Linked DNA regions of Macaca fascicularis. The protein of the gene in region 2 binds, or shares a complex with, the protein of the main gene of each other region. Links are inferred from orthologs where the notes say so. Each region holds a gene or a part of one and is shown on either strand. Other genes may lie near its edges.

Evidence for each region.
Region 1: the proteins of serine protease 1 (region 2) and TMPRSS15 are in contact, whole or in part, in a cryo-EM structure (PDB 8ZIV), measured with the Homo sapiens proteins. The link is inferred for Macaca fascicularis from reciprocal best matches to the Homo sapiens genes PRSS1 and TMPRSS15. Residues at the interface, in NP_002760.1 of Homo sapiens: Phe18, Asp19, Asp20, Asp22, Lys23, Ile24, Val25, Tyr45, His46, Phe47, Cys48, His63, Cys64, Tyr65, Lys66, Arg68, Ala91, Lys92, Arg95, His96, Arg101, Lys102, Leu104, Asn146, Tyr175, Phe188, Leu189, Glu190, Gly191, Gly192; in NP_001414986.1 of Homo sapiens: Tyr276, Thr277, Ile279, Trp297, Glu298, Leu316, Glu318, Asp320, Glu321, Ile369, Gln370, Ser372, Phe374, Pro376, Phe377, Ala389, Gly399, Pro400, Gly401, Gly402, Arg403, Glu405, Glu432, Asn433, Lys485, Ile486, Leu487, Val513, Pro514, Thr515.
Region 3: the proteins of serine protease 1 (region 2) and SPINK1 are in contact, whole or in part, in a crystal structure (PDB 7QE9), measured with the Homo sapiens proteins. The link is inferred for Macaca fascicularis from reciprocal best matches to the Homo sapiens genes PRSS1 and SPINK1. Residues at the interface, in NP_002760.1 of Homo sapiens: Tyr45, His46, Phe47, Cys48, His63, Cys64, Lys66, Arg101, Lys102, Thr103, Leu104, Tyr154, Tyr175, Lys178, Asp194, Ser195, Cys196, Gln197, Gly198, Asp199, Val214, Ser215, Trp216, Gly217, Asp218, Gly219, Gly227; in NP_001341895.1 of Homo sapiens: Tyr33, Glu35, Leu36, Asn37, Gly38, Cys39, Thr40, Lys41, Ile42, Tyr43, Asp44, Pro45, Pro55, Asn56, Val59, Phe62.

What each region holds. Positions count from the first base shown.
Region 1 is NC_088377.1:28,967,018-28,977,176, forward strand, and holds the end of TMPRSS15 (enteropeptidase), read left to right. Parts: intron 1-3,937; coding exon 3,938-4,093; 3' UTR 4,094-6,520; downstream 6,521-10,159. Other genes in the region: CHODL (chondrolectin), read right to left, coding at 8,018-8,102. UniProt on the Homo sapiens protein: Responsible for initiating activation of pancreatic proteolytic proenzymes (trypsin, chymotrypsin and carboxypeptidase A).
Region 2 is NC_088377.1:184,585,577-184,596,466, forward strand, and holds serine protease 1, read left to right. Parts: upstream 1-5,065; coding exon 5,066-5,105; intron 5,106-6,133; coding exon 6,134-6,293; intron 6,294-7,348; coding exon 7,349-7,602; intron 7,603-8,002; coding exon 8,003-8,139; intron 8,140-8,439; coding exon 8,440-8,592; 3' UTR 8,593-8,633; downstream 8,634-10,890. UniProt on the Homo sapiens protein: Has activity against the synthetic substrates Boc-Phe-Ser-Arg-Mec, Boc-Leu-Thr-Arg-Mec, Boc-Gln-Ala-Arg-Mec and Boc-Val-Pro-Arg-Mec. The single-chain form is more active than the two-chain form against all of these substrates.
Region 3 is NC_088380.1:154,608,204-154,617,289, reverse strand, and holds SPINK1 (serine protease inhibitor Kazal-type 1), read left to right. Parts: upstream 1-631; 5' UTR 632-725; coding exon 726-780; intron 781-2,493; coding exon 2,494-2,525; intron 2,526-4,007; coding exon 4,008-4,114; intron 4,115-7,478; coding exon 7,479-7,524; 3' UTR 7,525-7,603; downstream 7,604-9,086. UniProt on the Homo sapiens protein: Serine protease inhibitor which exhibits anti-trypsin activity. In the pancreas, protects against trypsin-catalyzed premature activation of zymogens.

The DNA.
Region 1 (10,159 bases), about 160 Mb from region 2:
GACAAAATGAATAATTTCTAAATGAAGAAATAGCAGTTTATGTCATGGGAAAATGGTTTCACCGTGTTAAAGTGTAGCAACTTATTTTATATATTAACACATATATGTCATACTACCAACACATGACAAGCCATATAAATTGATGCTTGTTCAGATCATCTGTGTCTAAGTCCTCTCGTTAAATCAATGTCTTCAGGTGTGTTAAATTTCCAGCTTCATTTGACATTTATTCTGCTTTGATAAATGCTTGCAAATTCAAGACAAATAGGATGGTTTTTTCTTGTTTAAAATTTGTCTCCAGGTCTTATACGTCTTTTTTAAAATGAAAAGTGTGCTAAGGGTAAGATATATTGCCACTTAGAAGGAGATCTATAGAATTCTTGTGCAGGAGGGAAATCAGCTGGACAACTTCAATTACAGCTAATGGGGATTGTGTGGCAGACACCTCATGCACTAGGCAGAAAATATGACAGCTGATGCTATTGATTTTAAGGTTACATTAAGTCATTAACTCATGCCAGGTCTCTGAAATCTTATAGTTAGCTCGGATTCTACACAGTCTAAGCATGTTATCCATTGGCAAGTAAGAAATGTCCTACATAAGGTAATACCTTGTATAATAAAATGTTATCATAATTGAGTAATTAATATGCTCGATTGTCACATGATTTTCTTTGTTCAACTTTAATACTATGTTTTATAACAGGATTAATTGATTAAACAAAAATGCATTCTTTAAAACTGTGAACACGTTATTACTGTTCAAATACATTATTTGAATAAGTTCTTCGAAGCATCATTTTTTAGCCATACGATGGCAAAGAATGTGCCTTACTAGTCATCCACACCAGACGTATCTTCTGACTTACCAAAGGCTTGCCTTTTAGTGGTAGTAGTTTGGATTTAAAGGCAACATCAATGGCTGGAGAATATCTTCTCCACATAAAATTCAGTGAAGGACACTCTACCTGCCATTCCAAGCCATATTCTATACTAATGGCTTTCAATGTGTGGCCTCCAGTCCAGCAGCACCACCTGAGAATCTGCTAGAAATACAAATTCTCGGGTCCCATCACATATCTGCTGAATCAGAAACTATGAGAGTGGGGCCAGCTATGTGTGTTTGTCACATCTCCCAGGAGATTCTGATGCACACTAAAGTATGAGAAGTATTGTTCTGAACAAAGATGGTCACCTTGCACTCAGACACTCAAAGAAGGTACTCATTTTTATTTTTACTTATGAATATAGCATCTCACTAGAAACATAAACTTAAGGTTAATACTTTATGTTCTGTAAACTAATGCATATTTTAAAAAATATTTATATATTTATGTATTTATTTTTGAGTCAGAGTTTTGCTCTTATTGCCCAGGCTGGAGTGCAGTGGCACGATCTCTGCTCACTGCAACCTCCGCCTGCCTCAGCCTCCCGAGTACCTGGGATTACAGGCACCCATCACCACACCTAGCTAATTTTTTGTATTTTTAGTATAGACTGAGTTTCACCATGTTGGCCAGGCTGATCTTGAACTCCTGACCTCAGGTGATCCACCTGTCTCGGCCTCCCAAAGTGCTGAGATCACAGGTGTGAGCCACTGTGCCCGGCCCCATGCATATTTTTGAAGTACTCATTATATCTCCGAGACAGTGCAATAATGAAATATTAATACCTTCACTGAACAAATCAGAAAATTAAGGTAAGGCAACAAACATATGGAAAAAAAAAACTCAACATTACTGATCATTAGAGAAATGCAAATCAAAAGTACGATGAGATACCATCTCATGCCAGTCAGAATGGCTATTGTTAAAAAGTCAAGAAACAATAGATGTTGGCAAGGTTGTGAAGAACTAGGAACACTTTTACACTGTTGGTGGGAGTGTAAATTAGTTCAACCATTGTGGAAGACAGTGTGGCGATTCCTCAAGGATCTAGAACCAGAAATACCATTTGACCCAGCAATCCCATTACTGTGTATATACCCAAGGGAATATAAATCATTGTACTGTAAAGACATATGCACATGTATGTTTACTGCAGCACTATTTACAGTAGCAAAGACTTGGAACCAACCCAAATGCACATCAATGATAGACTGAATAAAGAAAATGTGGCACATGTACACCATGGGATACTATGCAGTCATAAAAGGGAATGAGATCATGTCATTTGCAGGGACATGGATGAAGCTGGAAGCCATCATTCTCAGCACACTAACACGGGAACAGAAAACCAAACACCGCATGTTCTCACTCATGAGTAGGAGTTGAATAATGAGAACACATGGACACAGGACAGGGAACAACACACACCAGGGCCTGTTGGGGACTGGGGGGCAAGGGAAAGGAACTTAGAGGGCGGGTCAATAGGTTCAGCAAACCACCATGGCACATGTACACCCATGTAACAAACCTGCATGTTCTGGACATGTATCCCAGAACTTAAAGTAAAATTTTTAAAAACAAAAGAAAAGAAAATTAAGTTGAGGAGAAGTTACATAACTAAACTGATGTGGTATAGTTAGATGACAGGAAGGAATGGAAACAGACTGAGGCCTCTGAACCAGATAAACCGCCCAACCAATAGGCAACAAGTCTGCCGTAGGATCCTTGAGTAACTGCAACTGGCCCAGTATGTTCTGGGTAAGTTAAAACCCCGGTTCTGTCTGGATCCTCTTGTCTATCAAAAAATTAAATTATTTTAGAAGATATGTGAAAAAACAAACGACTCCTTTTAAAAATATCCAAACAGCTGAAGTTGATTTTTAATAATTTCCAAGTCACATAAAATGTATTTTGATCCTTGGATATATACTGTTCCATAAATATTTCAGAACCTATATTACAGATTAAGGGCTTGGGAGGCAGAACTAGAAATCACAGTCCCTGCTTTCAAACAGCTTGAACACATTTGTTACACTAGAATGTTGGTAACCTATGGTCGCCAGTGCAATTTATGTTCCTGTGTATGGAGGGGGAAAAAAGGTGACTACAGTTTTTTCTTCAAATACAGGGCCCAAAGATGATAAAGGATCAGATAAAAAGCCTCTTAGGATAATTTCTAGCATCCAGCTGGGATTGAAATATTCTGTTACACCAATGATTTCAAAACACATACAACTTTAAATGTCTTCATAAATATAAAAAGCATTCATTAAAAAGATTTGCCCAATTAATACAGGAAACATACTTGTCAATTTCATGTCATTAAATAGTGATATTATATGTTTGTATTATCACTGCGTTACACAGGAATCATAGGCAATAAAATCTATGTAATGTACTAGGATCTGCTGTAATTAATATTCATAAAAATTAAAAACATTTCTTAGTTTGAAATCTCAGATGAAAACATGAGTAACTATCACTGAAAATTATATCACGGACTTCCTTATTTCAGTTGAAGTGTTTTTTACAGACTTCCTTATTTCAGTTGAAATGTTTTTCAAATCGGATGGTGTTTGTTGAGCCCCAAAAAGATAATGTTACCCAAGAGCACTAAAATCTACTTTGTGAGTTCCTAATTTTTCCGAAGAGTATATTGTGAAATAATTTGTCTTTTCCGCAATGTCCTTTGTGACACTTACAGCAGATCTCCTTAAATAAAATGATTGGATTTTAATAAATATTTTGTTTGGGATGCTTGTCATAGTTATGCTTTAAAGAAATTCTTAGTATCCACCAAAATGCCTAATTAAAGTGGTGAAACTTTTACTAAAAAGCTGCACCGTAAAAATTATAAATTATGTCTTAGTTGTTACAGTGTCTCTGTCTCCTTACTGAGGTTCTCATTCCTGACTTAGAGTGAAAGTGAGAATATATACAGATGACTTGCAATTAAATCGTATTTTTTAATTTATTTGATACAAATAATTTTATATGTTTCGATCAATTGATGACATAGCTACAATTTTGTTTTGCAATTCACTCTTTAGGGGGATTCAGGAGGACCGTTAATGTGCCAAGAAAACAACAGGTGGTTCCTTGCTGGTGTGACTTCATTTGGATACAAGTGTGCCCTGCCTAATCGCCCGGGAGTGTATGCCAGGGTCCCAAGGTTTACCGAATGGATACAAAGTTTTCTACATTAGCACATTTCTTAAACCAAACATGAAAGTCAGATTATTTTCCCATTCTACTCTAGAAAGCATGGAAATTGTTTAGTACAAAAATTTTAATGAGTTACCCAAAGTTTTTATTCTTACCTATGCCAATGAAATGCTACGGGGCCAGGGAAACAAAATTTTAAATATAATAAAATTAGCAATACAGAGTAACTTTAAAATACCATTAAATACATTTTTTATTTCATTGTGAACAGGTATTTCTTCGCAGATCTCATTTTTTAAATTCTTAATGATTATTTTCATTATTTACTGTTATTTAAAGGGATGTTATTTTAAAGCATATACCATACACTTAAGAAATTTGAGCAGAATTTTAAAAAGAAAGAAAATAAATTGTTTTACCCAAAGTGCGTCACTGTTGGAAATAAACTGCCGTAAATTTTCTAGTTCCAGTTTAGCTTGCTGTTAGCAGAATCTCAATCGTTTCTCTGTCTTTTCTATCAAAATTCATTCTTATTTCAACATATGCATAACCTTAGTATTTTCCCCACTAATAGAAACTATTTACTGTGAGCTTATGTCACAGGCCTGGACTAAATTGATTTTACATTCCTCTTAAATAAGTTAATGAAATAAAATATAAATTAACTGATACGGTCATTGTTTATTAGATGAATTTTACCTGGATTATGTATACTGTCTATTTCATGCTAGTATTTTTAAGTCTCAAAAAAATAATCAGACATACCAAAGAAATGCACCTATTACAAATCCTGGTCTTTGTTTATGTGTGTTACAGTGGATATTTCTAATATGTGAAAAACTTATTTAGACACAACTGAATCGCCCATGAGAAGGTCAAATATGTGGAATAAATGAATTTGCTTCACTTATTTAATCTCTTGGATCATTTCCAGAATAAGTTCAGACTTCAACTTAGCTCACCACACAGAATCTTTTGATGTATTTGGGGAGAAAAAAATCATAGTTAATACAAAACACATACACACATACCCACACACACACACACACACATTCTTGCATGGGACAATTTAATAAAGAGAGAGTAAGGTTAAAAGGAGTTGAAAGAAGGGACCAATCTGTATGACTTGGCCTTATGGAAGAAAGGAGACTTGAATTACACCTGGAAAGAATAATTATTACAGAGGCATTGAAGAGGATATTGGGGATCCACTGGGCAGGTGGGAGTCAGTTAAGGGAGAGGGGTCAGTAGAGAACCATGTGTTGTCATACTAAAAGACTCTCTCTCTGGGAAACAGTCAGATAAAAGGAAAAAAATGTTATATGAAGAAGGTGTGGCCAAATGATGGATGACTGCAAATTCCTGTTAAGAAATTGTAGAATTCATTCTTTGGACCAAAATCAGGAGCCACTTGTTTTAATCCATTTTCATGCTGCTAATAAAGACATACCCAAAACTGGGTAATTTGTAAAGGAAAGATATTTAATGAACTCACAGTTCCACATAGCTGGAGAGCCTCACAATCATGGTGGAAGGCAAAGGAGGGGCAAAGGCACATCTTACATGGAGACAGGCAAGAGAGCATATGCAGGAGAACTTCCAAGTATAAAACCAACAGATCTCTCGAACCTTATTCACTACCATGAGAACAGTGTGGGGGAAACTGCCCCCATGATTAAATCATCTCCACCTGGCCCCACCCTTGACACATGAGGATTATTACAATTCAAGGTGAGATGTGGGTGGGGAAACTGCCAGATCATATCACCACTGAACACACGATTCTTTTTAACACCTTTCCAATGGTCTGATTCTAACAGTTGGGAAAGATAGACTGACCAGCAGGGTATTTGTTTTTAGTACTAGAAGATTGTTCCATATCTCATATGCATTTCAAAACATACAGCAAAAACATATTCTAAAAATGCTAATGCAACAGATACACCATGTATTTCTTTTCATTTTCCAAAGGTTAGCTAAAATTTTAGGAAACTGTTAAGGTAGGATTACTACCATTTTCTAATAAAATAGAAGTCCATTTTCCACCTCCAGTAGCTTATAGGTTTAGTTGTTGATACCAGAAGAGTTACTCAGACCTAGATAAAGATCAAAGGCAAAAGCAAGGCATTTCCCCACCGATTTACTGCTTTTGCCTTGCAGCTGTTACAGTCCATGGTGGCAAAGACAAGGGGGAACATCCAGTTTTCCTCCACTATGTCCACACTAGAGGGAGAAATACATGATAGTAGTTTGGAGGGAAAAGGTTAGGTCCCAGCAGCTGGTCTCCAGTTCTACCCAGAAAGATAGGTAGCCAAGAGAAGAAAGAAGAATGCTGCATGTTGGCCAATCTCAGCTTCAAATGCAGCTGCTCGTTCTCTCAGTCTCTCAGCAGCTGAAAATGGGCAATGCCCATTGATTTCTCTTTTGCCTCCTAGCTTTGCCAACAAGTGCTAGTTGTGAAATGTGTTAAGGAAAATACTTTATTATTTAACTGAAAATAATTAACAGGGAAAATATTAGACATAACCACGCCTTCCATTATTACCACACTTAAAGAGTAATTTGTTTCCAACTTTATATATCGATGCAAACATATCTGTACATTTTTTCACATAAGAGGTTTAGACAGGACTAGTGATCATTCTTCAGAAACAAGAACTCTTTATTTTGTTAAAAGGAGCACAGGGACATATGAAGACCAGACAGTTACAACACTCTCTTGAGAAGAACAAGGCATAAGCATTGAAGAAACTAGGAGATAACACAGAAAGGAGCCACCATTTTCTCTCTCAAGCAAACCCTCATCAATGAATATGCGATCACTGATGGGTTCCAACCCATTTTCACACCATTTCGTAGTTCCTTTCATTCCTGAAATGTCTGTGTGCTGTGCTTATCTCCACACTCATAGTGACTATTCACCTGGTCTCAACCACAAGACCTCTTTGTATACTAATATAGTTAGAGGCTAAATACAGCTAGGGAAACCATAGACAAACTTTGCAAATATCTGTCTCCAGTGTCAATCCCAAACCCCAAACAACCATCTTTGTTTAGTGGGCAAGAGAGGGACCACATTGATTTCAGAACCCTCAGAGAGCTGCTTCTCATTATATAGGCAACGTGTGAAGACATATGATTTATATTGTGTATGCCACTACTTTTGTTCAGATTGACTGCATTACTGTTTATGCACCTATTAACAAAGTTACATTATTAAAAAATCTGTTGAATTTTAAACTAAAAATAATCATAAGGCACATGTCTTGCACAATTGAAATTAGACAATCCTTGCCTCTAAGTAAAATGTTTGAGGAGGTTTATATCACACTTACTGAAATAGCTTCTTATTTCTGAAGAGGTTTCCTAGACATTGACCAAAAGCAGAGAAACTGAAAGATGAGTTATTTCTAGAAAACAAACTTTTTCTATAGCACTACATTTGTGTGTCTGTGTGTGAATTCAGTTGACAACAGTAATGTTTCTTTAATCAAAACAGCATGTATTGAAAAATGAGATGCCATAAAAATAAATATTAGAACAGTTAATTTTTATCAAACACTTATGCAAAGGTAAAATACTTTTGCACACTGTAAATTTCAATACAATATACATTACATTGATTAGATTACAGCTTATGAAAGGTGAAAGAAATACAAAGAATTGCTTCTAACACACATACTCCTGATGTGTTGATAACTTTATCTGCATTGTCCATTTCATTTGCTTGAAGTTTCGGTGCATCCTTTAGCAAAATAAGCAGGTCTCACTCCATTGTTAGCACAGCGTATTTTGTAAATGAAATAATAAACATATAAAAATTACTTTAATATTTGCCTCAAGGGGGAGCTTACAGTTCATCTTGCAGATCCTGTGTGATTTCAAGCCATTCCAAGCTAATGTTCTGATGCCATTCCTTATACAGATTCAGAATTACAAAATTCTGGAACCAAGTCAATGAGTTACTATACTTCCATGCCACTTTCTTTTCTGCTGCTCTTTGAAATCCACAGTGTGGACTGGTTTGGACTAGTTTTTGTTCTTCCTTTACTGAAAAACATAAGAAAAAATAAGTTTAGTGCCTAAAACTTCTTATTAAACTAAGCATGTCTTGGTCCAAAGGGAGATATCTCAGACAGTTCTTTATGAAAGACTCCTCCTCCTCTTATCAGTATATTTTCCCATTCTTCCAAAAACTTCTAGATTATTCAAATATGTGAAGATGGCAGACGGTTCTTGTGAATGATAGAGAAAACAAAACGTATCTTTTCCTGTTTGACATTTCCTAATTTAGAGTTCATTTTTGTTGTTGTTTTTTTTATTGTTGTTGTTAATTTTTTATTTCCATAGGTTATGGGGGAACAGGTGGTGTTTAGTTACATGAGTAGGTTCTTTAGTGGTGATTTGTGAAATTTTGGTGCACCCATCACTTGAGTAGTATATACTGTACCCAATTTGTATTCTTTTATCCCTCACCCCCTTCCCACCCTTTCCCCCTGAGTCCGCAAAGTCCACTGTGTCATTATGTCTTTGCATCATCATAGCTTAGCTCCCACTTATGAGTGAGAACATAAGATGTTTACTTTTCCATTCCTGTGTTACTTCACTTAGAATAATAGTCTCCAATATTACCCACGTCGCTATGAATGCCGTTAATTCATTCCTTTGTATAGCTGAGTAGTATTCCATCATATATATACACCACAGATTCTTTATCCATTCACTGATTGATGGGCATTTGGGTTGGTTCCACACATACAAACATGTGCCTGACACAATATTAACCATTTCCATTTTATTCACCAATAAAAACCTTTATTTTCTTTGATCAATTATTTTGGAAATCGTCTTGCTCCTTGAGTCTCCTGTCACTAATGTATGCTGAATTTAATGTCAAATCATCAAAACAATGGTATTATACTATGTGTGCAGATGTGCCTATTCCCCTCCTCCCATCAGTTCTCCGGCTCTGCACCTAAGTCACTTGATTTCTGGAAGCTTACTGATGCCTCAGTCTCTGAAACCGTTGTGGTTAAACAGCAGCTTGATGCTTTGGTAACATAACAGTATCTGAGTTCCTCTAGATCTGAGATACAGTTTCACCCTTGTCAGATTTGGCATTCTGGCCCACATTTCCAGCCTGTGCTTAGGGTTCTGCTATCTTCTGTCTTTCCACAACATAATTACTTTTCAGGCACCCGCAGCAGTTCCCTGTTCCTGGGTTTACCTAAGTCATTCTGTCTCTTTTTTTTTTTTTTTTTTTGAGACAGACCCTCACTCTGTTGCCCAGGCTGGAGTGCAGTGGCGCGATCTCGGCTCACTGCAAGCTCCACCTCGCGGGTTCAAGCGATTCTCCAGCCTCAGCCTCCCAAGTAACTGGGATTATCGGCACCCACCACCACGCCTGGCTATTTTTTGTATTTTTAGGAGAGATGCGGTTTTGCCATGTTAGCCAGGGTGGTCTCAAACTCCCGACCTCAGGTGATGCACCCAAGTCATTCTCTACTGGATGCCCTGTCAAAAGTAGATTTCTTTGGGCTGGTTTCCTCGGGATAATCTCTTGCCTGGACCAAAAGTGTTTGTCCCAGTTCACTGTGTTGTGCACTTACTTGCTCCCTGACCACCCCAGCCCCCGTTCCCAGCATCTGCCTCAATCTTCACAGACGTCTCCCCATCCCCTCCTCTCCATCTACCAGACATTGCAGAATTCCCTCAAAGAGAAAAAAGAACTATTTCTAAACACACCTGACCATCACCCTTTTAAAATATTACTTAATTCATTTAGATTTAGCTGTTTTGATTACTAATAAAATATTATGTCCAAATTGTATGGTTTGTAGATTTCCATCCAAATAAGTAAGATTAACACAACTCTATTCTACAATCATCTAACATGTATGGAATATAAGCCAAGAAAGTTTATAAAAAGCACAAAAATGTTCTAAATGGTTAAAAATGGTTATTAATGTGCCTTTTGTGTAGAATTAGTATTTCATTTAAGAATTACTTAAATTTTTTCTAGGTCTTTTGTTACTTAATGGGTTCTTTAGGGTTTATTTCAGCAAAAGAAGAAGATGAAGTAAGGTCAAAAGAGAAAAATGCATGTT
Region 2 (10,890 bases):
ACATTTCTTCCAAATGTTCAGTGTAAAATAAACCACTACCACCACCACCAAAAATACAAAATAAGCAAAAAAAAAAAAAAAAAAGCTTATTCTAAATGCAAGAGAAAATGCTGTGTGAGAGCCAGGTCAAGGGGCTGCATTTTCTCAGGCCACAAAGCTTTCTCAGTCCATTTGCTCACATGGAACAGTGAGATATGAAGGTCTCCAGAGTGTGTGCTCGGGATCGAGGCTGGAATCGTTCACCTGTGGGTCCAGATCAAAGGGCAAAGAAGCAGAAAGCCACAACTCTGTCCACAGCCATGGCTTAGGGCCTCCTTCTCACAGAGGCTCTGAAGAGCCCCCACCTCAGCCTTCACACAAAACATCTCCTTCTTGCTCAACTACAGCCAGACTGGAGTGCCGTGGTATGATCTCTGCTCACTACAACCTCCGCCTCCAGGGTTGATGTGATTCAGCCTCCCAAGTAGCTGGGATTACAGTCACGCGCCACCATGCCCAGCTAATTTTTTTTTTTTTTTTAAAGTAGTGACATGGTTTCACCATGTTGTCCAGGCTGGTTTTGAACTCCTGACCTCAAGTGATCCAAAGTTTTGGGATTATAGGCATGAGCCACCACTTCTGGTCCAGGTCCCATTTAAAAAAATAATAATAATTTCAACTTTCATTTTAGATTCAGCGGCTACATGTGCAGGATTGTTACATGGGTATATTGTGTGATGCTGAGCATTGGGGCACAAATGATCTCATCACTCAGGCGGTGAGCTTAGTACCCAATAGGTAGTTTTTCAGCCCTTTCCACCCTCCTTCTCTCTTCCCTCTAGTAGTTGCAGTGTCTCCGGTTCCCATCTTTATATCCATGTGTACCCAATGCTCAGCTCAAAATTATAAGTGAGAACCTGATATTTGGTTTTCTGTTCCTATGTTAATTTGCTTAGGATTGTGGTCTTCAGCTCCATCCATGTTTCTGCAAAGGACATGATTTCATTCTTTTCTTGGCTGCATAGTATTCCATGGTGTATATGTACCACATTTCCTTTATCCATTCTATTGCTGATGGCCACCTAGATCGATTCCATGGCTTTGTATTGTGAATAGTGCTGTGACGGATATGCAAGACCATGTGTCTTTTTGGCAGAAAAAAATTATTTTCCTTTGGATAAAAGCCCACTAAAGGAATTGCTGGGTGGAATGCTGGTTCTGTTTTAAATTATTTCAGAAAACTCCAAACTGCTTTCTGCATTAATTTTTCCATGAACTGATTTACACTCTGGCCAACAGTGTATAAGTGTTCCCTTTCCTCTGCAGCCTCACCAGCGTCTTCTATTTTTTTGACATTTTAATAATAGCCACGCCAAAACCAAGCTCTTTCAAGGCCAACATGGGGAGGAGCTACAAATATCCCTTTTCCAGAAGAGAATTCCTGCCTGCCCACTGGTAGAATTCTCGTTTTCATCTGTCTTTCATTGTTTGTTTTTCAAAGAAAAACCAAAGGCAAAGTAGTATGACCTTCCACACCTGAACCAGGTTGCAGCCACCAGAGCCTGCTGGGAAGGGGCCCATCAAGCATGCGTTGATCTTGTCACCTGGAATTTGACAGATCAACAAGCCCCATAGCAACCGACCATACACCTGCCCATCAGCACTCATTCTTTCAAGGGATTAGCTCAATTCTGGCTCTGCAGACACTGGCAGCCACAGGTCACAAACCCTGGGTCTCTGTGGGCTTCCCTCCTCACCCAGGACCACAATGGGCTGCCTGTCCTGGGCAGAGACACAGCAACATTCTCTTAAACTGAAATTAAGCATAAATCCACTTCACGAATAATCATCTGAGGGCACAGTCCCTGCCTCCTTCCTTGGGGATTTTAAAACACATCTCTCTGACCCAAGCAGGTAGGTGAGATCTGATTTTAAAGGTAGGGGGATGAATATCGAGATTAATTGTGGTATTAGGAATGAATCTCAAGTGTTTTTGGGTTGGTACAGGCATCCACATCCAGAACTGTACCTGGAGATGGAGAAAAATGCAGGAGAGGAAACGAGAAAAAAAGGGGGACAAAGTTGCTGAAAGTCATTGAAATCTTCTCCCATGGTTCTTTCTGGCTCTGGTTGCTTTGCCAAGGTATTGAGTTCAGGCACGGCCGGCTCTGACTGGGAGCTGCTGCTCTGGGAGATGGAAGAATCACTGCACCTCCAGAAAGCTCATTTGATCATCTGTAAAATGATCATTTCATCATCTCTAAAATGTAAAATCCCAAGGTGATTGTGATGATAAAATGAAAAAATATTCTTAACTTATATGAGTTACCTGCTGTATAGTAAGTTACATGGTATATAGTAAGCACACTGATATGATTCACTGTTATAATTGAAGGTCAGTGGTTTGCTGTGCTAAGCACTAACCACAAGCCAGAAAGATGTATTAGAGAAGTAGACAAAGAAATCTATAGTTCAGAATGAACAGGATCCAGAATGACATGTCCTCCAAATTGTGCTTGGGCAGCTGGATCTGAGCCTATCCTACATATCTGAGTCTATAGTACGGGGTAACAGTCTCCACCTATAGCTGTCTTCTCTGACTGTAAGGTCATTCCTTTTTGAAGAAAGCTGACCATATACTGTGATCATTTAAGGAAGAGCGCAAAATTCTGGAGAAGGCTAGTCTTCAAGCTCTAGATACAGAAATCCTCATATTCTTGGGTGTTCCCTTTCAGACAGAGAGTCAGAGCACAAGCACCTGATCCAAAAATCCCCTTTTCCAAACACATTTTCCATCTTCTACCAAGGTTCACCTCCCTGTTTAGTGCACACTGGTATCGTGTCTACACTTGCTAGAGCAAGAATCTCTCCTTATCCGCTAAGGCAGGAGTTCTGTGAAGATCCCATGACAAGGGGACAAAATGAAACAACATGCTTAGGGACAACACAGGAAAAGTCCATATTATCAATGCTCCAAAACCTGGTTACCTCAGGCTTGGCCAGTTATTCATGAGCAGAGAGGTGTGTCATCTACATGGCAGTCATGGCCTGGATGGCTCTGGAACTGTGGCAAGGTAAGGCTCTGAGACAAGGTGCCAGGAGAAAGATGAATTCAATCATCTATTTCTGCCAGGAAGAAAAGCACCAGGAAGGAATCAGATGTACGGTTTGTCCTCTGGGGACCTGTGCCTTGATCCTCAATAAATCTCCTTTTAGATGCCACCTGCAGCAATTCCCACACTTCACAATGCTCTCCACGGCTTGTTGATCTTATGGTCAGCTCTGCCAAGATCTGTATTCTTAGCAAGACAGAATCATTCTGAATCTCATTGTCTTCCTCTATAAATGGAAACACTTTTGCTCTGCAAAAATCACAATTAGTATGTCTGTGGGAAGTTAAACTGTGAAAGTCACCAAAACGAAAACAATGTACCACGGTTGCTTACGTGAAAACTCTTCTAAAGCTGTCAGGCACCATGCACCATCTAAATATAGCAGTGTTAGGTATGAGCCCATCCATGATTAGAGGACGTACGAGGTGGAGAGAGGGTCTCCGAGCAGTGGGTCTCCTGACTGTGGAGAAGTTGGCTCGGTGGCCATGGCAGGAGCTGAACTCAAAGGTACTCTGTGTGTCCTCTCAACTCCATGGGTCCCACTTTGGCATTTTTTCCAATTCCCTCTTGTTTCCATTTGCTTCCTCCCTCTATCCCCCTGGCCATGTCCAATTTCACCACCAAGTTTCTGAGCTTTGCTCATTTTGTTCACCGTCTCCAGGACATCTCTCCTTCTTTTACCTTTCAAAGAATTCAAACTTGAACCCTGCTCACTCCTGCCCATCACCAACCCGAGCTCTGAGTTGCTAAGAAGGGAAAGCACTCTCATAAGGAAGCTTCTTCTTTTCTTACATCGTTAGACTTGAGCGGAGACAGCATCTCCATCTCCACACTGCTCTGGCCAAGTTGTGCCTCAGTCAATTACACAACTGTGTCTTAGCAACCTTGCTAGGGTCCAAATCAGGATATTGTCTGGGAAGATTCACTTTGTACTGAGCCCAGCATAATCTCACAGCATCTAAGATAGAAAATTCTAGATCCGTCCCTCCACATCTTCTTTTTTGAACCCAATATGTGACCCATTTACCATGTAATCTCTACCTACTGCTGATTCTCAGATCAGATCATAACCCAGATTGATCATGGTCGAAACTCTAGCATGCCATTGTGGTTCAGGCTGACAGCCCTGACCAGGTGGGTCAGTTTGCATCGCCCTGAGTGCAGCTTGCCAGGGCAACCGTGAGGCTGCATGAAAAGAACTTATGACACGATGCACATGAGACAGACAAATGTCTTCACATTGAAGAACGGGAGGAGTGTGCTATCGGTTTTCCATCCTCCAGATGCACTGAGCAACCTAACTAACCTGTGCCCCTCCTTCTTTGCAACACTTCCCATCCTTAAGCCTTGGTAGGAAGGAGAGCCATCTGGAAGCCCAGAATCCTATGAAATGTGAGTCTCCCTTCCCCTTATCCCTTAGTGTTGGAATTCTTGTTCCCAAAGTCTTGGATTTGACCTTCCTGCACACTGACTGGAGAGAAGCATCTTCATTTTCACAGGAATGAGCCTTAGATAAGACTTTGCTCCTCTCTTGGGGGCTCCAGGACACTGAAAAGCCAAGGTTGTTACCAACGCTTGTCCTTCCTTAAGAACATTAAATACATCCCCAATAGATAAAAGGATTCCTAAATAGCGAGGCCATTTTCCCTCCTTCTAAGCCTCATCTCCTGGGCCTAAGAAAGCCCAGCTGTGTGATCCGGGGCTTGGTTTTCCCTGTCTTCCCCATCTCACCATCCTTGTAGGAAACAGCCAATCACCCTCTCTCCTCTCAGAAGGCAAGTTTCCTTATCACTTTTAAATCACAAACCCACAGAGTGGCCAAACATAGCCGAGCTGATGCAAGACCCTGGGAAGCTGCAGGTGTGTTTGTGCTGAGAGGAGTGGTGACCTTCACCTCACAGACACCTCCTCTCCCAATCCTCGGGAGGTATAAAGATGGGTCCTCCACCACCAGTCAGGCACTTTCTACTGCCATGAATCCACTCCTGATCCTTACCTTTGTGGGAGCTGCTGGTGAGTATCATGCCCTGCCTTAGGCTCCACGCACACCATCTCCTGGCAGACACATGCCCTTCCATTCTTGCTACCTATCCCCTTTTGACTGTGCTCTGATATTCTATTTCCTCCATATGGCATCTCTAGTTCCCATCCTGTATGGGCTCTCTTTAAGGCTCTCCTGTTTCAACTTCTCCCTGATTTCACTCCCACCACTGTTGTACATCTATATCCGAGCTGTGGTTGGAAAAGCTAGGAAAGGAGGTCAGGTGGGGCTGGCCCAAGAAATGAAGCAGCAGGCTTCAGACTCAGCTCCTACAGCACCACAATAGCACCACTAGAGTCGCTCTTAACCTCGAATGCACGTGGGGAGGTTGAAAAATTACTCATGCCAGAGACTCAGCTCTAGACATTCTAACTTCATTTGTCGGGGGGGCAGCTTGTGTTCTGGGCTTTTAAGCATCCCAGGTGATTCTTAATATTTCCAGGCATACAGCCAAGGTTAAGAATTGCTATACTATTGGCCAATAACAACATCTACCCTTGTTCTGTCGAAGTGAACCTGGGGGCTGCCCTAAACGCGGCCCTAACTGCACAGATCTGAGCTATGGGGGAAGCTGGTCACGGCAAGTTCTCCACAGCCAGGGGGTTTTCCTAGCTTGGCCAAAGTATCCTGACAATCCAGGACTCAAATAGCCAGGAAAAGTACACAGCTCATGAATAAAAGAGAGAAGCACTCAGTGGGTGAGACAATCACATCCCAACTCCTATCCCACTGAAAGCATTGTGAGGACATTCCTTGCAACCTCAGCCTAGTGACCCCAGGAGAGGTCTGAGCCCCACTGGGTACCTTGCAACGTGCCCTGGAGACACAGAGACTTGGGAGACACATCCAGTGATGCTCACCATGGGTGGCTGCGCTCCCTTCCTTGCCTAGCGTCACTGTGCTTGTGAACCATTTCTAATTAGAAGGAAGCAACTGCAGGCTGGGAGCAGCACCCCTAACATGCTACTGACTTGCCTTCTCCCCTCCGTCTCCACTCCAGTTGCTGCCCCCTTTGACGATGATGACAAGATCGTTGGGGGCTACACCTGTGGGAAGAATTCTCTCCCCTACCAGGTGTCCCTGAATTCTGGCTACCACTTCTGCGGTGGCTCCCTCATTAACAACCAGTGGGTGGTATCAGCAGGTCACTGCTACAAGACGTAAGTGTGGGGCCCCTGACGGCAAAGCTCCAAGCCAGGCTGCCTGGTGGAGCATGGCTTCAGCCCAGAGAAATACTGAGGCTGGGTAAGATGGAGGGGAGAGGTGGTGGAGAAGAAAACTTGTTGGCAGCAGCTGACTGTCCAGAGCAGAGAGTGAACACAAGACAGGAACCTCTCACACCCAGGCAAATCCATGAAACAGCAAGGGTTGTGGTCATAAAAGCAGGCAGGGATGATCTTGGGGTGGTCAGAGCTAGTGAGAAAAGCAGGCAAGTACCTTTTGTTGGTTAGCTACACAATAAAGCCACCTAAGAAAGAGTTCAAAAATACTAATGCCTCTGTCCCATCCCAGGGCAATTAACTCAAAATTTTCAGAAAGAGGGTGTGAATATCTGAGTATATAACAGTCTACTTCTGGTAACTGTAGAGTGCATAGACAGAGCTGAGAAACTCTGCCTAGGCAAAGAACTCTCAAACCTGAGTATGCACCAGAAACACCTGCAGGCTTGTTAAGGCACAAATCACTGGGTCCCATCCCCAAGGTTCTGATCAGTAGGTGGGGGTAAGGCCCAAGAATTTACATTTCTAACAAGTTCCCAGGAGATACTAATACTATGGCTACCCTTGGATTAGATTACACAGAAGGGTGGTGCTCACCAGGCCAAGAAGGGAGGGAGGAACAGGCACTGTGCACAGTTAGCAAAGACTTGGGGTGAAGAATGCTGGGAAAACTACAAGGAGCTCCTTGTGCCCACAGTGCTAGTGACTGTGGAGATTGTGGGAAAGAGACTGCGAAGGCTGGTTGAGGAGCAGCCTCCGTTGGGATCCCTTTGCCTCTTCCCCACCTCACTACCACCAACCTCTGAAGCAGAAAGGTCCTGGGTGTCACACCTGCACTGACCCACATCCCTCTACTGCCCATGTGATATGGCTACACAGCCCACCTGATCCCTCCAGGGTTGTCCACGAGCAGGGAGCTTAAGGACCCTGGGGAAGGTGGGATGGGTGCCCCGGCTGTGAGAGAAGGTCTTCACCACGCCTTCCCTGTCCATCAGCCGCATCCAGGTGAGACTGGGAGAGCACAACATCGAAGTCCTGGAGGGAACTGAGCAGTTCATCAATGCAGCCAAGATCATCCGCCACCCCAATTATAACAGGAATACTCTGAACAATGACATCCTGCTGATCAAGCTCTCCTCACCTGCCGTCATCAATGCCCGTGTGTCCACCATCTCTCTGCCCACCGCCCCTCCAGCTGCTGGCGCCAAGTGTCTCATCTCTGGCTGGGGCAACACTCTGAGCTCTGGTGGTGAGTGGCACCCTTTGTCCTTCTACTTCCCTCCATCCTCACAATTTCCAGAATGAAGCATGCCCCTTAACTTAAATCCTCTCGCCTCCAGGGTTAAGATGCATTTCTAGTGCCCATAATACACAGGCTCTGCACAGGGCACCAGAGGATGCAAAGTCTCAAGGACTTGACTCCTAAAATCAAAAGACAGGACAAATGGAGAACTTGCAATGATCACATCTTGGAGGGGTTCAACAGTGATCATTCTGGGAACTAAAACCAGAATCCCTTTCCAGGACTTATGTTTTGGAGTCCTCCCCAGAGGCAATGTTCCTCTTCAATGTTCCATCCTAGATTATTGTCTCCTTCTAAAGCCTGACCCACATTTTGACTTTCTTTGTTCTCTTCCATATCCTCACAGCCGACTACCCAGATGAGCTGCAGTGCCTGGAAGCTCCTGTACTGACCCAGGCTAAGTGTGAAGCCTCCTACCCTGGAAGGATTACCAGCAACATGTTCTGTGCGGGCTTCCTTGAGGGAGGCAAGGATTCCTGCCAGGTGATTGGAACAACCCTTCCCATGCAGAGGCTCCCAGTGATACCCAGGCCCCACCCGAGAAAAAGATTTGAACTCCCAAGGTGGTGGGGCTAAGGATGCTCCCTGTGGTGCCCCCAGGGAGAAGTGAGGAAGGCTCCCTTGGGCTGCATGCAGTCTGCTTAGGAAGAACAGAGAATGGGCCACCATGAGAAGGACGTGGAGTCACAGAGCTGGCTGGAAAGGGGTCTTTTAAGGTTCAGAGTAAATATAGCTATATTCCTCCTCTATCTCTCCATACAACTTGTACCTTCTTCACCCCAGGGTGACTCTGGTGGCCCTGTTGTCTCCAACGGACAGCTCCAAGGAATTGTCTCCTGGGGCGATGGCTGTGCCCAGAAGAACAAGCCTGGAGTCTACACCAAGGTCTACAACTATTTGACCTGGATTAAGAATACCATAGCTGCAAACAGCTAAAGCCCCCGGTCCCTCTGCAGTCTCTATACCAATAAAATGACCCTGTTCTCACTGTGTCTGTGCCTGCTCCCTCACACTCCTTCACACTGGAAAGCATCCTCCAATCTCAGGTCAGACACGACAGTCCCCCTTAAAGGTAGGCAGAGCCCCCGGCTCCCAAAATGTGTTCCATGGTAGACTAGATTAGCACGTACAAAGAGATGGAATCCAAAAATAAGAAGCTTGGGAGAAAGGGGGGCACTGTTTTCTAGAGAAAAGTGTGTTTCAGAACGGTGGTCTTTGGCAGGGGGTATTGATTTTTATTTGGGCTTCTCACAGTGGTTACAGCTACTCTGCCTTCAGAACAATCACAGCACAGAAAATGTGTCAGCATCTTCAAGGTGGCCCAAAACATCTGACCAGCTGAATCTTATTGCTAACATACAACAACGACAAATGCCATTGGTGATGACGTGCCTCTACCAAGAATGTGTCAGCACCAAACCCTGGACAAAGCCCCCCTTCCCATTCACCTGGAAAATCAGACTCAAGTAAATCTCCCTGGCCCCTAACTCTTCCCTCAATTCCCTAGTTCCATCTCTGTGAGCAGCTAGAGAGATGTCCCGCCTACCATAGCGGGAGCCTGACTGTGACTTGGGAATCAAGCCCAGCTCTGCACTCTTCATTTTCATCTTCTTTGCCTTTGGGGTAGGACGCTGCAGTGAATCCCACAGCCAACACCATCTCCCCACTATGACTATGACCAGGGAAAGAAACTAGAGAGGGTCAGAATTCACCCATTTGGTCAATTAACTGAGGAAGTATTCATTTTCATAAAACTTGCTTGCCATTGAAACACTTCAAGTGAGTTATTTGGGACTCTTTTAAAAAGGTAGAAGGAAAGACATCTGAAAGCTGTGACACTGTCCAGCCACTTTGGCCACACATTGGCTGGCTTGCACCCACTGGACGCAGCAGAGGGAGGCAGGGCCCGTTGCACCTGTGGCACCTGCAAAACCTCCTCCTGACAATTCTGAGAGGGCCCATATTCGGGCCATAGCTTGTCAAGGTTGTCACTGAAGATCCAAGCAAACTTCTCTTTAAAATTCCACCTTCACCTTCTGTCCCAAGTGCTTGTGGACACCCCAGGGAGCTGGTACCAAGGGCCAAGAACAGCCAAGGGAGACAGACAAGTTCAGAGCACACTTCCAGTTACAGGGAACAGAGCACAGGTCTCCAAGTGTCCGTGAAGGAGCGTGCAAACTGCAGTGATGAGTAGAGTAAAACCTCTACATGGAGCATAGCATTCCTGGCAAACACAGGGGACCACAGTCCACATGCTGTGGAATACACCCAAGTATGCATCAGACAGTGTTTGGTAAACAGTAAATGTGTCAGATCAATTACCTTAAGAGGGCCTCTGTGCTCCAGATGTGATTCATGTGAGGAGACGGCTACCACTTACTACCTTCAGAGGAAAACAGGGCTCAGGGCTCACACACAATGACAGATACACACGGTTTACCCAGAAAGTCACTGCATAAAAACATCCCTTTGTTCAACACGGATTTGGTTTTTATGGAATCCAAACGCAGACCCTAGTTCACCTTACAGCCTTGAGTTTGTCGGCTTATGGAGAAATGTATACAGTAGTCAAATAGAGAAGAAACTTACACTTTTTCCCTTTCTTACCATAATGTCAGTATCCCGTCTGAATGTCATCATCACTCAAGAGTCAAGGGAAGAACCAAATGCTTCATATAAGCAGGACTGGGCGGGGAGTGTTAGTTTCCACTGTTTTCTGTCTCCATTCAGATCATTCCTATCAAAGCCCAGCTGGTTACCTGAAGCCAAGAGACAGACATAAGTATACCAATGGCCTCCAGACGCCTGCTTCCACCTCCTACCTGGGCCACATAGACTCTTTACACAGGAGAGTGAGTCACCCCACTCAGAAGGGTTGTCAGCAGAAACAGGGCATGAAAATCACAGATAACCATGGCATTTCTTCCAAGTGTTCAGTGTAAAATAAACCACTACCACTACCAACAAAAACACCTAAGAAGCAAAAAAATGCTTATTCAAAATCCAAGACAAAATACTGAGTGAGAGGCAGGCCATGTGGTTGCATGTTCTCAGGCCACACAGCTTTCCCAGTCCATTTGCTCACATGGAACCATGAGATGTGAAGGTCTCCAGAGTGTGTGGTCGGGATCGAGGCTGCTACTGTTCACCTGTGGGTCCAGACAATAGGGCAAAGAAGCAGAAAGCTGCAACTCTGTCCACCACCATGGCTTATGCCCTCCTTCCCACAGAGGC
Region 3 (9,086 bases), on a different chromosome or scaffold from region 2:
ATATTCTCAAATGAAAGAGTAACCCTTTGAGTTAGATGTTATTATTATTTTAATTTCCAGATGAATACACAGAAGCACAGCAAAAGTGACTCCAACAAGCACCCTCTACTCTAGAATACACGCTTTAGGGAACTGAGTCCTCTCTCTCTCTCTCTTGCTCTCTCTTTCCCTCTCATCTGCCACTCCATCAGCTACTTTAAGCTTTGTGAATGGGTGATAGAAAAATAGAGAAAAGAGAAAGAAGAATAAGAAATGAAGAGTGGAGGAAAGGAAGAAAGAATGGAGAGGTTTTATCCTACTTGGAATAAAATTCTTTCTAGTCGCTATCCATACCTGCTCATCTATCCAGACCTACAGAGTAGAAGGGATCTTTGGGTTTACCTTACAGGGGAGAAAACAGGCTTCAGAAGGGTATGACTTTCCCCCAACCATAGAGAGAGCGGGATCAAACTAACCACTAGAACTATTTTCCTGACAGAATGTTTGCCTTGCATATTTCAGGCCCACCTGGCTCCTTTCACCTTTCTTACGCAGGTGACATTCCCAGAACCTGGAGGCCAGGCTACAACACAGAGTCAATCAATAACCAGGGAGATCTATGATATAGCCCAGTAGGTGGGGCCTTGCTGTCGTCTGCCATATGACCCTTCCAGTCCCAGGCTTCTGAAGAGACGTGGTAAGTGCAGTGCAGTTTTCAACTGACCTCTGGACGCAGAATTTCAGCCATGAAGGTAACAGGCATCTTTCTTCTCAGTGCCTTGGCCCTGTTGAGTCTATCTGGTAAGTGTTTTTGCATATTTTTCAAATTTAAATAAAATCATTTTGACCTGTTGCTTTGTGGAGCACATTATCTTCTAGACTTTTGATGTAGTCTAGTCTTCGAGAGATCTTTTGGACCTAGTGAGATGAAATAGAATCCACAGATAAGAATTATTTTTTAAGAGGGATTTTTAACTTACTACAAGGAAAACAATTCTGCTAGTAAGAACTGCCTAGAGATAAAATGGTTTTCCTCTATTGATGTGGCTGACACTTTGTTGGAATACGGTAGAGAAAAAAGGGTAAAAATATTTCAATTTTAACTATACTTCTAATTTTGTAAATGTGTAAGGCCAAATTACAATAATATATGTGATATAAAGGGGAGTTTTTATTTTCAGTTTCTGGTATTTCTTATTAGTATCTGGAAATACAAAAATTGCATTTTGTGTATTTACATTACACGTTTTGAATGTTTTGAAAGAAAACATTCTGCTTGAATAGATGGTGCACATATACCCCCAACTGCATCTTGACAATGTTAACAGACAACTCTGAACCCTCAGAGCCAAGATCAGTTTCCTTTTTATCATTGGAAATAGTTAACATTTTCAACTTCACCTCTCATGTAGCGACGGATCCTGTGGAGAGCCAAATCAGCACTTTGCTAAGAAGAGGAAGAATATTGTTTGTTGTATTCGCCGAATACTTATGGCAGCTGTCAGTGTTCCCTTTCCCCCTCCTCGTGCATGTTAATTAATACAAATAGATGCTTGTGATGAGCACCTGTTCATCAGTTTTTAGATTCAACTAGATTCTAAAAGCCAGTGGGCCCCCAACAACATCAAGTTCTGACTATCCTGGGGGAAATTCTCCAAGCTCTTAGATGCCTCGCTAATTTTCATTACATTTAGATACAAAGAACTACCTCTTTACCCAGATCACCTCAAAGATTGATGATATTAAAAATTAATTTTCACAAATATTTCCTTATTTGGATGCTATCAGATTAATCCCTTTCGCTTCCATGAACTCATCCACAGTTATCATTTTCTACATGTTGTCAGCAAAACCTATGCTATCTTCCGGGGAACGGAGATTAGCTATTTTGACTACCTGTAAATTCAATAAATGTGAGTTGGACCCATAGTCCATATGATGCAATAGTTGGAAATAGCTTTTTGGGAACTGATAGTGAGTTGGCAAAAGAGCTCTATTTTTTCAACATTACTTACAAAAGAGAATTTAAGTGTAATTGAAAAAGCTAATTTTGCATCAGAAGGCCTGGTTACTGCTTGTGATAACTGTTTCACAGCTTTTCATCTGTAAACAGATAGAAAGTATACTTCACTAATTGTGAGATTAAAGATCTAGTAACTGGTTTTGAGAATGTTTGTGAGGATTCAAAAGATAATTTGCTCAGTGCCTGATACATTTCCAGCAGTAAGTACATAATTTCTATTTTCAAGGAAATAGATCAACTTCCTAAAACATCAAATTGAGATACTTTGGTCATAATCAAAGTTTTACTTAATCTTTTTAAGGTTTTGCCAGGGAGGGGGTGCAGGAAAATCAGTCAGATACTTTTGGAGGATTATAGAAATCAGAAAGGGTAGGGAATGAAAGAGCCTAGTAAAGAAGTCATGGTCTGCAGTGAAAGCAGAGAATTCTGAGGAAGAATAGATCTGACTTCTCTCGTTTAGGACCCAACTTACCATATCTGATTATTTCCAGGTAACACTGGAGCTGACTCCCTGGGAAGAGAGGTAAAGAGATATTTGTAATTTCTTATTTCTCAGGCTGGAACAGTTTGATCCAACAAAAATGCAGCCTTGCTGTCACCTTTCAGTTGAGCCTGAAGTTAAGAGGAGTATGAATGCTAGGGAGGGTTAATGTGTGAAATGCAAACGGTAATAGTAGTTCCACCCCACAGGCATATATTGAAGGACAATTTCACTGATGTATAAGCAAGTTCTATATAGTCCTACAGTGCTTGCTGTGAAGGGGTTTTTATATAAACTAGTGATAGCTGTAAACAAGTATTTGGGGTGGAAGCCTTCTCAAGTTCACTCCAAGTAGCCCTTCCTCCTTACAGCCAGTTTGACCATGTTGGCATGCAGCTTTCCCAATGACCAAGGTGTGGCTCTAATTTATAATGAACAACAGAAAACAATAAACTAGGTTCTTCTTCTAGAAAAATATTCTAACTCTAATCTTTTCATATTTTTTTGTTTAAAAGGTAATTTCAGTAAATTTGGAGACCAGAGGAAGAAGTGTCCCTCTTCTCAGTACATTTATATCTAGTCAGAGACAGCTAATAGACCAAAAGTTCATGAATGAACACATGATTACATTTGTGATAAGTGTTATGAAAAAGATATGCTGCCATTAAGAACTTAGCCTAGTTAGAGAGATCAGGGAGGGTGCTCCGAAGTAAGTGAGGGGTCATTTTGAGCCAAAAATAATAATAATAATAATAATGAGTGTTAGCAAAGCAAAACTGGTGGGGAGATGTAGTAGAATGAAGTAGTTAAGAGCTAAAGCTCAGGAACTCTGACTAGGTTTGAATTCTGAATTTAGGAATTCCTTAGCTAGGTGTCCTTGGCTAATTTTATTGCTTTGTGCCTCATTATCTTCACCTGAAGAAGAATATAATACTTAGTTCACAGGATAGTTAGGCGGTTTAAACAGAATAATATGTAAAAAGCACTAGGACAGTGTCTAGGACAATGCCAATCATTTGATGATTATAAACTCTTACTAGAGTAGAATGCAAAGACTTCCAACACTGGATGTTGGCTAGTGCCTTTAAGTGCCTAATAGAAGGCCAGTGTGTGTGGACTATAGTGTACAAGGAAGAACATACCTCAAGATGTGGCCAGCCTGAGAGATGCCAGCATCTGCAGTAACTGTAAACTTGAACATTATCTCACCCATCCGTGCAAACCTCACAACAACACTATGAGATAGGTGGGAAATGGTAATATCATCACCATTTTGCAGATGAACTGACTGAGTTTCAGAAGGGCCATAGGACTTACTAATGTCACACAGTTTAGAAATAGCAGAGGCATGACTTAAAACAAGGTTTTCTGTCTCGAGATCTTAGGTTATTTCTCTTACAACACACAGTATCGTTCTCCCAATCACAGTTGTGCCCCAGAGAAATTAAAACCATTTCAGAGATTTTGCTATGAACTCAAGAATGGAGAATAATGGGAAATGATTCTGTTTAATTCCATTTTTAGGCCAAATGTTACAATGAACTTACTGGATGCACCAAGATATATGACCCTGTCTGTGGGACTGATGGAAAAACTTATCCCAATGAATGTGTGCTATGTTTTGAAAATCAGTGAGTACAAACTTGAGTTTCTTTTAAACTATATATTTTAAGATAGTTATCTTCAAATATACTGATAATATGAATCTCACCCTGAGAGAAGCAAACTATTTACTTTTTCCAAAAACAGTTATCTCTTTCTTATTCTCCTTTTTATACATTTAGCATTATAATATTATTTTTAAAAAGTCACTTTTATGATAAAAGTCTACATTTTTACAGCAAAATAGTTGATAGATTGGATTTTTATTAATCTTATACACACAAAATACCTTTAATTAAAAAGAAATATTAGTGGTTGCAATGATTGTGTTTTTTAAAGCTCTCATTTATGCAAATATAAATTGTATAGATTATATAACCAAAAATGTATTTTTACTCATGGATATGAAAGCCAGTTTCAGTAAAGCTTCATTTTCTCAGTATCCATGAGTAAGAGATGGGATACAGAGAAACAGATTCGACACAAATTTCCTATCTCACTCAGCAACTGAAACCTTAGCATGTGTAAAGCATTATGCTAATATTCCTTGTCTTACTGGTGCTTATGACTAAGAAAACGTCATGAGCACATATAGGATGGCTTCTTATAATTTTGGGCAAATGCCAGAAGATGAGGTGTAAATAAAGTGCAACAGGAGTGAAGCAGGGATACATATTTTTTGTTATTAAAAGGGGCCAAGAAAGGATCCATGAAAAGAATAGAATGCCGGCCGGTGCCGTGGCTCACTCCTGTAATCCCAGCACTTCGGGAGGCCAAGGCAGGTAGATCACCTGAGGTCAGGAATTTGAGACCAGCCTGGCCAACATGGTGAAACCCCGTGGTGGTGGGCACCTGTAACCCCAGCTACTCAGGAGGCTGAGGCAGGAGAATCGCTTGAACCTGGGAGGCGGAGGTTGCAGTGAGCTGAGATTGTGCCACTGCACTCCAGCCTGGGTGACAAGAGTGAGACTCCATTAAAAAAAAAAAAAAAAAAAAAAAGGAAAAAAAAAAAAGAATAGAATGCCATTTAAATAGAGCTCTGAATTTTGGCAATATCAAAAGAGCATGCCAGGTTAAATAAAGGTGTGGAATGAACAAAACAAATAAAAGGGGATTCCACGAGTGACTTTAGTTTTTCTGAGATTGACTTGATATTAAAGACTTTGACTCAGGCTCAAATGACTGTGTAAATTTCTATTATATTCTACTGCATAACTTTCCTTGCCTGTAATGCAAACCTTCTTCTTGGGCTGGTTTAAACCATTGTGGAAAATTCTCAGAGTTTAGCAAGTATCGTGGAAATAGGTCCCCAGGATGAGAGGTCTAATATCTTGAAGTTTTAGACCCAAAACCTTAGGTATTCTACTTTGTAATGAATCCGTTTCCATAACTAAGACTTGTAAAAGGAATTTGAAGCCACCTGTTAGTTTTCTCATGACCCACATTCTTGACATTAAGGTCAAACATCAACTTTCCATCCAATGGGAGGAGAAAGCAAGAGAACAACAGCTTTGAGACTTGGGAAATTTCCAAGTGCCACTCAACATTTACAGTGAAACGTTAGAAAAATATTAGTAGAGGGCTGGGACACCCTGTCTGCTTAGTCTCTGAAACCTACAAGTTTCTGTTTACTCTTTCTGTTTGTTCAAAAATATGTAAATACGGGAGGCACATTTCTATGCTAGAAAACATGACCTCTCTTCCTATATTTCTCAGATAAGAAAATTTAGGTCTAGAGACAAAATGTTGCTTTTCAAATACAACATATTTCCTAATGTATGACATTGCCCTTTACACTGTTGATTAAAAGTCCCCAACTTATTACCTAGCAACTAAAGCCAGATGCTGATCCTAGTTTGAGACAAGTAGATAATACCAAACAAGGGCTTGCAAATCAGTCTTCTTGGTCATTATATGCTTGACAAATAAATTCAAAAAACACTTTTTATATTCCTTCTATGTCTTCACAGGAAATCTGTACTGGCAAATTCTTTTCCATAAATCTGCATTTCCAATAGAACCTTCTATAATGATGGAAATGTTCTATGTTTATGCTGTCTAATACATAGCCACTAGCCACAAAACAGTAGCCTTAATGTGGCTAACACTAACTTAAGTGTGGCTAGCATAACTGATAAACTGAATATTTAATATTATTAATATTTAATATTTAATATTATCTAAATTAATTTAAATTTACATAGCTGTATGTTGACAGTGAATATATGAAACTAGAGTGAACAGCATAGCAACTCTTGTTTATTCTGTTTAGGTATGTGTGCTTATGTATGCTAACTGATTTGGAAATCAGTATTAATGAGTACTTAATGATTGTGGGACAAGAAAGCATTAAAAAGTCTTAAAGAGTTTCACTGAACATGGTGGCTCATGCCTGTAATCCCAGCACTTTGGAAGGCCCAGGCAGGCGGATCACTTGATGTTAGGAGTTTGAGACCAGCTTGGCCAACATGGTAAAACCCCGTCTCTACTAAAAATACAAAAATTAGCCGGGCGTGGTGACATGCACCTGTAATCCCAGCTACTCAGGAGGCTGAGGCAGGAGAATCACTTGAACCCGGGAACCGGAGGCTGCAGTGACCCAAGATCACACCGCTATACTCCAGCCTGGGCAACAGAGTGAGACTCTGTCTAAAAAAAAAAAAAAAGAAAGAAAGAAAGAAAGAAAAGAAAAAAAAAGTATATGGAAGTCAGATGTCCTCCAGTAATAGAGAAGTAGAAGAATTTTTGTAAGCCAGTATATTCAAAGAAAAAAATGGTTAGAAAAATTAAAGACCTGGAAACAGTCTTCTAGGGAACAATTACAACATTTAGAGATATTTAGCTTAGAGAAGAGAAAACTGGTTTGGTAATGGCAGTGTGGGGCGAACAGAGAGGTTTTATCTGGAGGGGAGGATGTTTAGAACTGGCAGGAATCATGTGGAATAAATATATGATTTAGTTTTGCGAGACCTCACAGAAATGAATCCCTAGAGCTCTAAGATGAAAGGTCAGTCAATTAGAAGGTCCAGCGATAGCTCAGGCAGCAGCTCAGATGGAAACCTGGTGGCGAAGGCAGAGGCATCAGGAGCAAAAGATGCAATGATGGATTTGAGTTTAATTTCAGGGGTTCACTGTAACACTCCACTAGGTCTGTAAAAACTGTAAGGACAGATGTTTTTCCTTTCTGTTGTATCCTTAGAGTATACAACAGTAATCAATAAATATTTGATGAATTCATGAGTAAGTGAATGTATAAATGAATGAAAGAGAAAAGATTCTAAATCTCAAACCCCTCTACTTTAAATGAAGTTATTTTCCCCCGTTTTTCTCCCATAGTCACTTTTTTGTCAATAAAGTATAAGCTGATTTTTTTTTTTTTAATTTCTACTGCAGGAAGCGCCAGACTTCTGTCCTCATTCGAAAATCTGGGCCTTGCTGAGAACCAAGGTTTTGAAATCCCATCAGGTCACTGTGAGGCCTGGCTGGCCTGATAGTTGAATAAATGCATCTGAATACTCCCTGTTGTTCCCATTTGCTTTTTCCTCAAAGGTATGTTTGATTATACCAGGGTCAGGGGACTTTGGCAAGACTCAGAATAGACCAAGTTTTAAAAACACCAGGAATCCTGTAATTTCACACAGGGTTTTTCCCTCACAATTCCTTTTCTTTCCTCATCTTTCTTACATCCTGAGGTCACTGCCTGAGAAAATGTGATTGCAGATATTAAATGGCAGAGCACGGATGATCATGAATGCAAGTAATTCTGCAGAGGACTGGACTACTATTTTAAGGAACAACTGGAAAATACCCAGTGCAGAAACATGTTACCCATCACAGTTTGCTGACTGAAGTAACTCCTTTAGGTTTCCTTGGGATTTGATCGAGTGTCTATTGAGCCTGGCACAGGTCTACATGCATGGGCACAGAGCTGCCTGTCTGGTGTAATAGAGTTTAGTCTTTGAGATTTTCCACTTATCTCAGAATGTAGAGTTTGGGTCAAACATAATTGTCTCAAAAAGATTTGAATCACTGAGTAAACAGAAAAAAAGTACATTTTCTTAACAAGGCTATGGAGCAGCTTGTGGACGTAGCCTTAGTTCTTCGCCAGCAGGGCCAGTTCCTCATTAGTTACTAAGGTGACTAGTGGTAAGGTAGAGCCTGTGGTTGTGCCTGATAACCCAGGGCTTGGATGGAGGACTTCCTCTTGTGCTTCCCTGGGAGATCCGCTTCACAGGGCCTGATGGGTTTGTGCTGTGCTAACCTGAGGCAGGTGGGTGGGGAGGCCTGATTCTGGATTAACTTTGGGAATGGTCTCTTCTACTATCAAACCATTCCCAAAAGATAATCTGACAAGGAAAAAAGTGACTATAGACCAGATGAACTGATCAAGAGACCTTTGTGCAGTGCACTTTGGTTTATGTGTAAGCCAAAACAACCCTGTAAGATTATCCTTATCTTATGAGTAAACTTAGAACTAAGTGAAATCACCTGCCTAATATTGCCAGCAAACAAAGTGGCGGGTTTAGGCTTTTATTATAATACAGGACGGAATTCAAGTCCAGTGCTTCTTCCATGAAGCCACAATCACCTCACGTGAGTTATTCATTGCCTACTTTTTCTATAGAAACTTTAGATAACAACTTCCTATTAAAAAGGTCTATGTGTTTATATTCAGGGAAGCAAATAAACTAAAGAAGTGCCCCCAAAGAAAAATAAAAGTATGTACAGCTACTAAAAGAAGAAGGAGGAGGAAGAGGAGGAGGAACAAAAAAAGAGGAGGAGGATGAGGAGGAAAGGAGGAGGAGGAGAAGGACGGGGAGGGGGAAGATGAAAAAGCAACTTGAATTCCCAAAGTCATGAGGAACTAGCCTAGAATGGAAAACTAGGTAGAGGGCTAACAGAGCCCAAGATGCAGGTTTTCTAATATACAGCAGGAAATAGATCACCTATTGAATCAGAAATAACCAGTCAAAAGCTATTTCACACTTGCCAAACACAGTT